3 linked regions of the Lepisosteus oculatus genome follow. The protein of the gene in region 1 purifies or fractionates together with the protein of each later gene. This does not show direct contact. Links are inferred from orthologs where the notes say so. Each region holds a gene or a part of one and is shown on either strand. Other genes may lie near its edges. The genes, in order: ptpn3, vangl1 and vangl2.

Evidence for each region.
Region 2: the proteins of ptpn3 (region 1) and vangl1 purify together in Homo sapiens (affinity purification with mass spectrometry; 4 studies listed by BioGRID and IntAct, with this or other methods). This does not show direct contact. The link is inferred for Lepisosteus oculatus from reciprocal best matches to the Homo sapiens genes PTPN3 and VANGL1.
Region 3: the proteins of ptpn3 (region 1) and vangl2 purify together in Homo sapiens (affinity purification with mass spectrometry; 3 studies listed by BioGRID and IntAct, with this or other methods). This does not show direct contact. The link is inferred for Lepisosteus oculatus from reciprocal best matches to the Homo sapiens genes PTPN3 and VANGL2.

The regions. Positions count from the first base shown.
Region 1 is NC_090705.1:23,826,411-23,830,165, forward strand, and holds the start of ptpn3 (tyrosine-protein phosphatase non-receptor type 3), read right to left. Parts: upstream 2,309-3,755; 5' UTR 2,198-2,308; coding exon 2,146-2,197; intron 1-2,145.
Region 2 is NC_090710.1:17,962,646-17,966,400, forward strand, and holds the start of vangl1 (vang-like protein 1), read left to right. Parts: upstream 1-1,274; 5' UTR 1,275-1,366; intron 1,367-1,410; exon of another isoform or gene 1,411-1,444; 5' UTR 1,445-1,526; intron 1,527-3,755.
Region 3 is NC_090699.1:8,407,431-8,411,185, reverse strand, and holds the start of vangl2 (vang-like protein 2), read left to right. Parts: upstream 1-1,508; 5' UTR 1,509-1,811; coding exon 1,812-1,882; intron 1,883-3,736; coding exon 3,737-3,755. UniProt on the Homo sapiens protein: Involved in the control of early morphogenesis and patterning of both axial midline structures and the development of neural plate. Plays a role in the regulation of planar cell polarity, particularly in the orientation of stereociliary bundles in the cochlea.

The sequences.
Region 1 (3,755 bases):
AATAAAACAATTATGGTATTTTTGTACAAATATGTCACTATACAGATTGACTGTATTCGCAATTATAATTACTATTTATTTTTTCTGTAATATTTTGTCTTAATTGTTACCTTTCTGCTTACAAAAAAATAATACTTTTCCTGCTGTTTCCTGGACATTAAATTCTGTCTACCTACGTATGTAGCTGTATGAGGATGTAAATAAACATGTATCATTTACTTTCCCTCAGAGAAACATGCGATGATTACGTGTGGTGTTGTTGATTTTTTTTCTCAATATTTTGCCAATAATAATCGCCAAAAGTCCCCGGCATGATTGTGTTTGAAGAAAAGAAAGTTAAATTTCTGAAAACTCATCCAACTATCGTATGAGATTTTGTTTTGTCGCAGGACAGAACGGGTGGAAGGTAGAAGGGGCTCCCCTGGCGGCAATGTTATGTAAATGCTGCCATTTTTCAAAGTGGTTTTGGAAGTGTATTATTAAACGCATTTCCGAAGGGTGTTGTCTTCTATAAACGTGAATTACATTTTGGGTGTTTCTGCAAATTGGTATCAATATAGAAAACTGGAATTCTTTCTGTGATCTTTGATTTTTCTTTTGTTTTATTTAGAACAGTTTATACTTTCTTCTATAGAAAATGTTGGGCATACATAGTATACTGTACATTAAAATGATAATTTTAAAGAACGTTTTTGGAGTTTATTTGAATTAATGGAGTACAGTATAGTTTAGCAGATCTGAAACAGTCATTATGAAAATAGCTATAAGCAATACAATACCAAATTCAGTTTGAGTGTCTGCACACATACAGTAAATACTAGTGTGTGTGGGTGTGTTAGAAAATGTTTAGTTTTGATTACTTAAGGAGCAAAAGCTGCACAGTTACCAATTAGATACAGGCACTATTTAAGCATTTATTTTTAATTAGTACAGTTAATAACATTAAACTCCTATGTTCACCTTGGAATTTTAATTTCTACCACAAAAAGAGTCCTGTTTTATGCTTTCCTTGTTTACTTTTTCATATAACTCTTGCACACCATAAGGCTCACTGGGGAAGACTTGTTCTGACTGCTCTATTGTGTACATTATGTCCCACATCTCACATACTGTGTTCCAGCTTTAAAAAGGGTGGCATTATAAATGAAATTCATGTTTACCTAAATGGTGTATAAAAAGCAGTAATTCTGCTACATTAGAGTGATTAGCCGCTGTGAACCACTTGCCCTTTTCAGCTACTCACCAGCAGACATGAACAAGGAGACCAATTATCTGCTTCTGCATTGAAGTTATTATCACTGTCATCAAAACACAGTTAGGCCCATTTAAGATCACTTCAAAGCACCCCTGTACAAATGATGGCAATTATCCTAGTTGACTTTACTGGGAGTTCACCGATAGACAGGTAAAACATATGACAGGATTTATTGAGCCATTTTCTGACAATCACTTTTACATTGCAATCAAAGCCATTACTGCAAAATGCTGGGCTACATTTAAACATTTCCCACTTACTATGCATGTATACATGTAGAGCGTATTAGATCATTAGTAAGTAAAGAGTCGTAAAGAATAATCAGTTTTATCCATATACTGTACATAAGTAGTTTTACTTAAATTTGAGTAAGATTAGCTAAAACTCCCATACTGTATTCTTAGGACCATAAATTATAATGGCTTCCTTTTTATGATAGAAGCCTGTAAAGATAGAAAGTGCACTTTGTACCCTTAAAGCCAGGACAGACATCTATTGCCTGTATTTTACTCATATCACAGAAAAAAAAATCATAATGCTATGATTAACACAAAGTTTTTTCTAAACAAATATGTATTCTAAAAATTAATACTAAACAACATCTAGTCTATACCCTGTAAAGTTCATAGGTCTTACATAGCCTTCACCAATCAGTGCTACTTAATTTTATGTATTTAACTATAACCAAAATATGTTGTGGTGCTTTAAATATTCGAGACCTTATGTTAATGTAACTAAATCTATGAGAGTATTCACATTTATAAGCACAGATGGTGGACAACCTGCTGTCCACATGGACATCTGTCCACATGTTTTAGTAAAACAACCCTTTAGTGTTTGAACACCACTGCTGGCTACTAGAAGACAAAATACATGAGGAATGAACTCACCTTCTTCTTCCAGTGAGGGGGCTTGTTGATGCACACCTTGGTCCTCCACCATGGCCTCCTGCTTTATCTTATAATCCTCAATTTATTCGCTATTCAATCCATGCAGCATAGAATCATCAAAGTCAAGGATGTACAAACAGCACAGCAAGTAAAAGGCTGTCTTCATCCAATCTCCTTTTCTTTCCTTTCTTTTTCGTATATTAGTTCTCCAGTACAAACCAGAGGAACAGGTCCTTGCACATTGCAAAAGAACAGCTTAATTAAAAGCACACACCCTTTCTGTTGGCTCCTAAAATGTCTAGCCTGCTTCTTTAGGGTTGGAAAACAACACATGCTGAAGTAATAGCTATGCTGGTGCACTGGGAAATAGGTTGAAATGAATAAGAACTTATCATTTCCCTCCTGAAATGAAGAGTGTGGGATTTAAATATGTACCATCTGGTTTTTAAACAGTACCCTACCTCTGTATTCTCTGAAAACTTTATATTGTCCATGAACTGAAAATGAAACACGTTTAGTTGTTTGTGCACTGTGGCATGATTGTATTGGTAGTGATGCAGAGGCTTAGATATTTTTCCAATGTTTGAACATGCAACCAATAATATCTTCTCTATCTGAACATGAGCCTAGGTAACCAACAGCTGTAGGTTTATGTTTAGTCCTTGTTTGGCATATGTGTTATTTACTTGTAGCTAGGTATCAAGAGTAGACGTGAAACTTCTGTGTTGAGAATACCAAAGCTGCTTTGGTTTCTTTGGAAAAGCATGATCTATGTTGTGGCGCTAATGTAATCCCAGAGGACAGTGTGCTATTTCCTCACCTGTTGCAGGGCTGTTTTATGCTGAGTGACACTGACTCAGCCCTGGTGCCGCAATAGATATGAAACTCAATTACTGTAACAAAGGCCTCCACCCTTTCCTTCTTCTAAACTGAAGACACATCTCTGTAGTTTACCACGCTAATTTGTTCTCATCAGTCACATTTTCAGATCAACTTTGACTTGCGTTCTGATTAGACGTCTTATTTTAATGTTTAGGTTGTTCATTTTATAAACTTTAAGTAAGGTCCTGAAATTGGAGAACCTTGAGTCATACCAAGTTTGTTGGGTTCATGAAATGTTTTGTTCACATCTTGGGATGTACAATTTACTACATCTTCCTGGCCCTACGTAAAGCACGTTTTGAGAGTTTTTGTTTGACATCACTCTTTAATTTTGAAGTTTATTTATTTTATTTATGTCACATGTTATGTAAAGCATTTGTGACCATGTTTGATAACAAAAAGCAAAGTGTCTATTATATGTTACTGTGACAGACCATTAGTAATGAAGGTAGTAATTTCTGCTGACACCACTAGAGGTTGTTAAGACCTCTATTTTTGTATGTACAGTAGGTTCACATGGATAGAGTTGATTACTTAATTATTGAAGGTCCAACAATTATATTTAATTTAGATTTATTTGGTACATAAAGGGACTCACAGGGTAAGGGTAAGGTACAGAGTAAGTATAACAGGTTATGTCTGAAAAGAAAGTCTCCTTACACAAATATGTTTTGTTGTCTAATGTGATTTCAATGTGCTCAGGACTCACAAGCCACATGTACACCTTA
Region 2 (3,755 bases), on another chromosome or scaffold:
GTCTTTTGTATTTTCTAGTCGCATATTTTCGTGATGAGAGCTGTGGTGTCAGACTGGGAGCCTGCTAGATTTGTTCATCTCACGTGTGACAGATGGTGGCATTATCAGTATGCATTCATTATTTAGTATTTTATGGGTTTCTGAAAATAATAAAAGCCACTATTCCATAGGGGTATTTATAGTGACATATCACTACGTCTAAATTTAGTTGGATTCCATAAAACACTTTTTGCAGTGCAAAAGTAAATATCCTTAGCCTATCGCTTTATCTACGCATTCGGTTATTTTGCTTCTTTTGACTTGTTTGGCGTGAAAAACCCGAGAGTTTTTAAAGCTATTTTTTTTTTCGTTTTCTGTATAAACTGAGAGGTCGGTTGCTGTGTTCGCAAAGTACATTTTCGCATTTGAAACATCCCTCTCACGTCGCTCTCCCTCGTATTTTTCATTTGCTAAATTACATTAAAGTAGTGATGTTGACATTTCTATTCAAACCTGTTCTAGCATGATGTTAGTAAATATTGGCTTTACCAATAGCTGTTGTGTTGCCGAAAGGAGTATGGGTATAAAATGCTTAATTGAAAAATGCATTACATGTTATGTCATCCAATAATAATCTAAAACACATTTTTCATAATTTGTTAATCTAAATATCAATTTTCTTAAATAAAAGAAATACGTGTAGCTTGTTATCAACGCGAGTATTAACAGTTGCAAATCTAAATTTACGTAGCCTTTGTGTGATATTATGATATCATATGATTGCATTGATCTGGGCCCTGAGTTCGAGAACACTTCCACTGTCTTATTGAACGAATTTGACGCTATGTTTCAGTCTCTGGGCTGATATTGCCTATCCGCATCAGTTTATAAGATAGGCCTATATGAAACAGACATCTGCTATTCCAGTTGTTTCACAATAAAGGAAGCACGTCATAAATTGCAATATGAGCTGCCAGGCGCATGTGAGCCTTGGGCTGTATTCAATAAAATGTTTTTTTTTTCCTTTCAGTTATTCTTTCTCACTATAAAGCAAAAGAAAACTGAAGATGATGCTGAGCCCTGACCAACCCGACTCCGACCATCCGTGGGCTCAGTCCGATGCTGAATCGGTACTAAACGATATGAAAGTCGGGTGCGTTTCCGACGAGCCCGGAGAAGGGGACGGAAAGACTAGAGCGCTGGCCCCCCAAACCTTAAGCCGGGAGGAGAAGCGCAGGAGGCGGCGAGCGACAGCAAAGTACCGCTCGGCACACGCCACAAGAGAGAGGATCCGGGTCGAAGCTTTTAACGTGGCTTTTGCTGAACTGAGAAAGTTACTCCCCACACTGCCCCCGGATAAGAAGCTGTCCAAGATTGAAATTCTAAGGTTAGCAATTTGCTACATCTCTTATCTGAACCATGTACTGGACGTTTAGTGACTTTATGAATTTTACTTTTGAAAAAGCGGAATACGAAGAAGAAAGAAAAATCAAAGTACATTTGGCTCCCGCGGGATGGAAATGTGGAAGAAAAGAACAACTTCACCGGTATTGTAACTTCAGTATTTTCGTTTAAGAAACAGCGGCAGTGTTTACAGAGAAATTAGAAAGGAAGGCGCGCTGCTGTTGTCGACTCCAAGCCCAAATTCTCCGGCAAAGCAAAAGCAGAATTTCCCAGTATATGAAAAAGAACCGATACCTGTAAACACAATCTGTTGTTAAACTAGCGAAACAAGAATGCAATAATTTAGGGGATACGAAAGATCTCTAGACAGGGTCTTGGATACATTCTTTCACAAATTCATCTAGAACTTGTCCCAGATATTTGTAACGTTTTTGACTTTAGTTACGAAAAGTCCATTCGGAGTGGTAAATTTCAAAAGATGGACACGATTTAGACGAAAGAGGGGAAATAGCTGCTTAATAATATGTAGTTACGATTTCCTAAAAGAGGAAAAATAAATGAAAATATTTAAGTGCCACTTCTTCTTAAAATACATCAGAATTGTGACCTTAATATTTATTTATTATCTTTGCTTCTAGATTTATATTATTTATTTATATTGCTGTTTTTATTTTATTTTTTTACAGTCCGTGTCTTTTGTATGACCCGTTGTTTACATTTAAATGTGTATGTATAATTATCTATATTTTAGTCTGTGTTTTTGGAGTATAAAAGTGATATTTTTGCTCTCCTATTGCACTTGTCAGTGGTTATTTTTATGTTGAAAGTATGTTGTAAATTGAATCGTATGTCAATGTTTTTTTGGGGTTTTCATCTGTCCATGGCAACGATAAGCACTTCTATCTGGGTAGAACCCTTAGATAACTTGTTGATATCAACATTGTTTAAACGTAGCTTTTTTTCTGAAAAACGTCTTAAGGGGATGGCTGCTTGGAATTTAATATTACACAAAACTCATTGGTCCCAAAAGGCAATAAAAATGAAGTCTTTCTCCATTCACAATTGTCATGCACAAGACTGAGATTTGGATCTTATGAGTCCGACAAACACGGCTGGAGCTTTCAGTTCAGTTTTGAAAGTCTTGGGATATAGCTCCCTCGACCAAGGTTAAATTCCAGGTTGCCTTTCCTTTGCTGCGACCAAAAATAGGAATTTTCGATTAAGTCTGTGGGTTGTTTTTTTAGTTTGTTTTTAATTACGTGTGAGTGTCTCTGCTGTGAACCTCTTTAATACAATAACTGATTTTATAGTGAGGAAAAACGACATATCTGCTATCCAAAGATTTTTGTCTTTCAGGGTTTTTATCGTGTCTTCGTTGCTTTATAGCACATATTTTGTAGTGAAGTAGCTATAATAAGCTGGTTTCTAACGAACACAGTTTTTCATATCTTAATGGTGAGCTGTTTTGAAAATAAATATCTAAAAAAGTAATTGTCTGTTTTTTGTATTAATTTCTGTATCTTAATAAGCTATCGTCCTTTTACAGTTACTACAGAGAGATGGTCTAATCCACACATGGCATGCAGGGAAGACAAAATATACAATTCGCTCTTCAGTCAATCTGACAGTTTTAAGAGGTTACAGCCTCATTCATTCGTTTTAGAAATACAGGCAAAATCTTAATTCACTTATGACAGTTTAATTAAAACAAATTATTTGTGATTCAGTGCTTAGAGTATCCTTTCTCTGATTCCTTTTCCTTATTGTTGTTGTTGTTGTTGTTGTTGTTGTTGTTGTTGTCAATTGTATCATATACTGTAGTTTTGAGACAACTATGAAACACGTGCTTTCAGATACTTTTAGATTTATATTTTAAACAAGCTGTACTGCAATACCAATCTCGCAGATTAAAGAGTTAAATCGAGTCCAGGGCTGCGTCCTATAGCCAGATCTGTGGAACTACTTTAATTCAATTTTGTAACTTTAGTTTACTGGATTTACAGTCGTTAAAAATACTAAATTCAAATACTGTATAACTGAATTTTTTTCCTATGATAGGTGTCTTACACGGCAATGGATTTATGAAAAAAGATATAGGTTTTCCGGTTATTGACGGCTGTTTTTTTAAATGGGATGCGTTTCATCTCGTTTAAATAATTACAAAGGGTGTGAAAATCAAGTACTCAGAAGTTATTCCGGCGCGTACGGGTGAATATCTTTTTGTCGAAAGGCATGGAAATGATGGTCACTGTGAATGAGTGATTTCGGTATGCGTGTGTCTGCTACTCTTCCCCTTTGGATGAAACGTGCTCTCCCCAGAGAGGGGGCAGGTGTTACTCCAGACGAGCCAAGACAACCACATTACTGGCCGT
Region 3 (3,755 bases), on another chromosome or scaffold:
ATAGATGGTTCCAATAAATACTGAAACATTGCTGCTCAATGCTTCTTGTTTTTCTTCCAAAAGCCTTTTAGAATCTTTTCAACCCTTTTTTTGTGCTTATCATGCATGCGGGGCATAATATTGACCTATAATCCTGGACTTGGCTCAACGTGGAGGGGGAGGACTGCACCACACAAGGGATGTTAAGTCCCTCTCTCTGAAAGCTATAGCTGTTTGCGGTTCCATAACAGCTCAGACTCTTCACTAGTGGAGGGCCTAGAAGTGGTGGTCAATTAGGCCAGTTAAGTCATTGAAGAGGTTCGAGAGGGGGGAGCTGAAGGTAAAAGGTTCCACGCTGTAAAACAAAGCAAAAAGCGTCCCAGCTGTTGGACTTCTTCACACACTTCACCTTTGCTGTCATTCAGCCAGAAGTCGGCTGCTCGTCTGTCCTCGACATTAGAAATGCTTCTTGTTGGACGAGGCTTTTTTTTTCCCTTCCCACTCCCACCTCGGTGCCAAAAGCACAATAATGACTTCTTTTGTTAGCTGTTTTTTTTTCTTTCCATCTGCTGCTTTCTCGACTCGGCCCCGGAGGTGGTCAGTCGATGGCTCCCAGCTGGTCTTGTCCACTCATTTCAACGGCAGAGGGAGCAGTGCTGAGTGAGCCCCCTTCCAACCACACTGGGTGAAAGTGACGTAGACAGTGTCCTCGATAGTGGCATCGCTGTATGCTCCAGCATTACTGCTGTTCATAACAAAGAGACACTACAAAGGCTTGTGGCAACGGCACAGAGGATTATAGGGTGCGATTTACCATCGATCAGTGAGATTCACGCGATCCGCTGCCTCAGTAAAGCCCGGTCCATCATTCAGGATCCCAACCATCCCGGCCACAAACTGTTCTCCCCCCTGTGCTCTGGCAAGCGGTACCGCACTGTTAAAGCACAGACCACTAGGCTGTAGAACAGCTCCTACCTTAAGGCAGTTTATATCCTTAACAGCTAACTGTAAGGCCTCCGAATTCAATGCACCTCTGCTCCTGTTGTGTGGACTGCCATGTTTTTTTTCCCCCCACTAGCACGTTTATTGTTCTCTCCAACATATTTATTCTGTTGTTACTAGCTATTGTGCACAATCCTGTAATGTTCTGTCTTCATTGTGTTGTTGTCTGTCATATTGCCATCTTATGTACTGTGTATGTGCCGAGAGACTGTTTGAAACAAGAATTCCAGGGTACACATACAAACTCCAAAACACTCCTCTCGGCTCTCTCTCCTCTCTACAGCTGCTACCCACTCGACAGTTCTCGGACACCTTTTCTGCGATTGCCTGTTACTTGTTCCGTTAACATGTTGATTGATTCAGTCATGTCTGAACTCTGAAGTAGAGGCGGCAGCTCAAGATCAGGGATCGAGAGTCAGGGGTGCTGATCCCCCTGAGGTCATACAACACAGGACCTTGTTGAGTCGCATCTAAATCCCACCTGGCTTAATGACCACCCCCCCACCCCCCTTCTGTCTTTTTTCCAGGCTCGTCCCCAGCTCCTGGGATTCTCCGGCCCCAGTGTTCGCCCGGGCTTCAAAATAGATTCTCTCAGGAGCAAAGTCGACCTCCTGAAGCTGCCCCTGTCCCTCTCTGCCAAGGCGGTCGGCACTCGGAAGCTGAAGGAGGGGGGTCCGCCGGGGCGCAGTGGGAACGGCCAGAGGGAGGAGGGAGGCAGAGGAGGAGGAGGAGGCGGCGGCGGCGGCGGCGGAGGAGGAGGGGGAGGCGGGGGGACCGGCCACCGCCCCCGCAAGCCCACCTTGAGCGAGGAGAAGTCTCGGAGCAGCACCATGGACACAGAGTCGCAGTACTCGGGCTACTCCTACAAGTCCAGCCACTCGCGCAGTTCACGGAAACACAGGTAAACGCGGGCGAGGGCCCCAAGACCGCGGGTTGACCCCCTACGTCATAGAGCCATCCCGTGACACCGCTGCGGCTGTACATGCCGCCGGAGGTAAAACAGGATCTCGCACACGGGGACCGAACGGCGGACTTCACTTCGTTCCGCTGGTTCTGGGCTTCTCAACGTTTTGAGGCCTTTGTGACAACGTTGTGCGTTAGTGGAGCTTTTCAGTGGCAACCTCTCGTCTGCGGAATATTGTTTCGTTAAAACCCCTCCTGCTGCTGACGTTTCAGAATTTCACCTCAAGACGTGCTGGTTTCTGATGGCCTTCAATTTACATTCGGTTCCTCTGTTTTCATTTCATGTTCACACATGGTTTCACTTCCTTTTCGTTTTTGTTTACTGTCCTCGACTTGCAACTGTAAAGTACCAGTATAAGAGTGCAGTCGATTGGACGGAGATGCTTTGCAATACAAGTGTGTTGCAATTGCTTTTTAAATACTTTTATCACCTGACTGGTGGAATTCATCTAATAACCAATTTCTACTGTAAAATAGTTTTATAGAAACGTGGTGTAAGAAAACCCTGATTGTCACCATGTGACACTTCTATGCATTTCCCATTGTTATGTATCCATCCACTTTCTAACTGCTTTATTCAGTACAGGGTCATGGGGAAATCTGGACCCTATCCCAGCACGCAACTGGCGCAACTGGTGCTATTGCAGGGCACACACACAAACACAGACATACACACTCATACACAGGACCTAGAAACCAATTAGCCTACCAGCATGTCTCTGGACCGTGGACAAGAAACCCAAGTGAGCACAGGGAGAACATACAACCTCCATGGAGATAGCGCTCCAGGAATTGACCCCAGGGTTCCATATCTGGTGCCACTGTGCTGCCCACACACTTGTTTCTAGCATCATTAAAATACAAGTAGTTTAATGAGGTTAAACTTAAATAGGTGAACCTGCTGCTAAATAGTCCATCACAAGACTAAAAGTGCACCCAAACCTTGGGTCACGCTGTTCCCGAGCTGCTCCCCACAGCCAAGGGTTCTAATAAGTTGCGGTGCTGGATTGGTGGCAACATCCTGATGTGTGGATTGTCAAGTAAAGGTTCTGAAGAAATAAGAGGAGAATGCAAGCTTTCGAAGGCTCACAATCTTGTAGGGCGTGTGTCAGATGTTTTTGACATGCCTTGTCTGGATTGGCGGACCACTAAAAGAGCACAGAGTCTTAGTAATGAGCTGACGTGATCAATCACTTGGGCATCTCTTGGTGCTCCTAATTGGTTTGCGATGAACTCTGGAGACATCCCTGGGAATGACCCTAATTAGGTTTTCTCCCGTTTCTGTTGGACGCCAGCTGTTGAACACAAGGCGTTGTAGCAGCAGCACCATCTCAGCAGTAGGGAACCTTCCAAATTCTTTCATCTCTGGTATTTTGCAGACCAACCCCCCCACCACCACCACCAGTGTGAGCACAGTGCAACATCTGTCCGGCCCGAGATTAATCTTAGGCGGATTAGGGCATTGCGTCATCTGGGGAGATCTGATCGTTTCATCCATCAAGCATATGAAAAAAAGTGTCTGATTCTGTAAAAAAAAAAGGCAGTTTTAGACTTATTTTTTTCAACTGAGACAGCACAGTGGGGTTGCAGTACGAATACAGGATGGAGCCAGGTTAAGGTGCAGTGGGGATTGGGGTCTCATCATTTGTCTCGTGGATTATGTGAAAAATCTACAAGTTTAAGCTTAATTAAGCCCTTAGTCGAGGGGAGAAGGCTACAGCGAATACAGGGGATACATTTTGAGCCAGAGTTTCTCTTTTTTCTCTTTCTCTCTCTTCCCCCACCCCCTCAGAGAACGCCGGGACAGACAT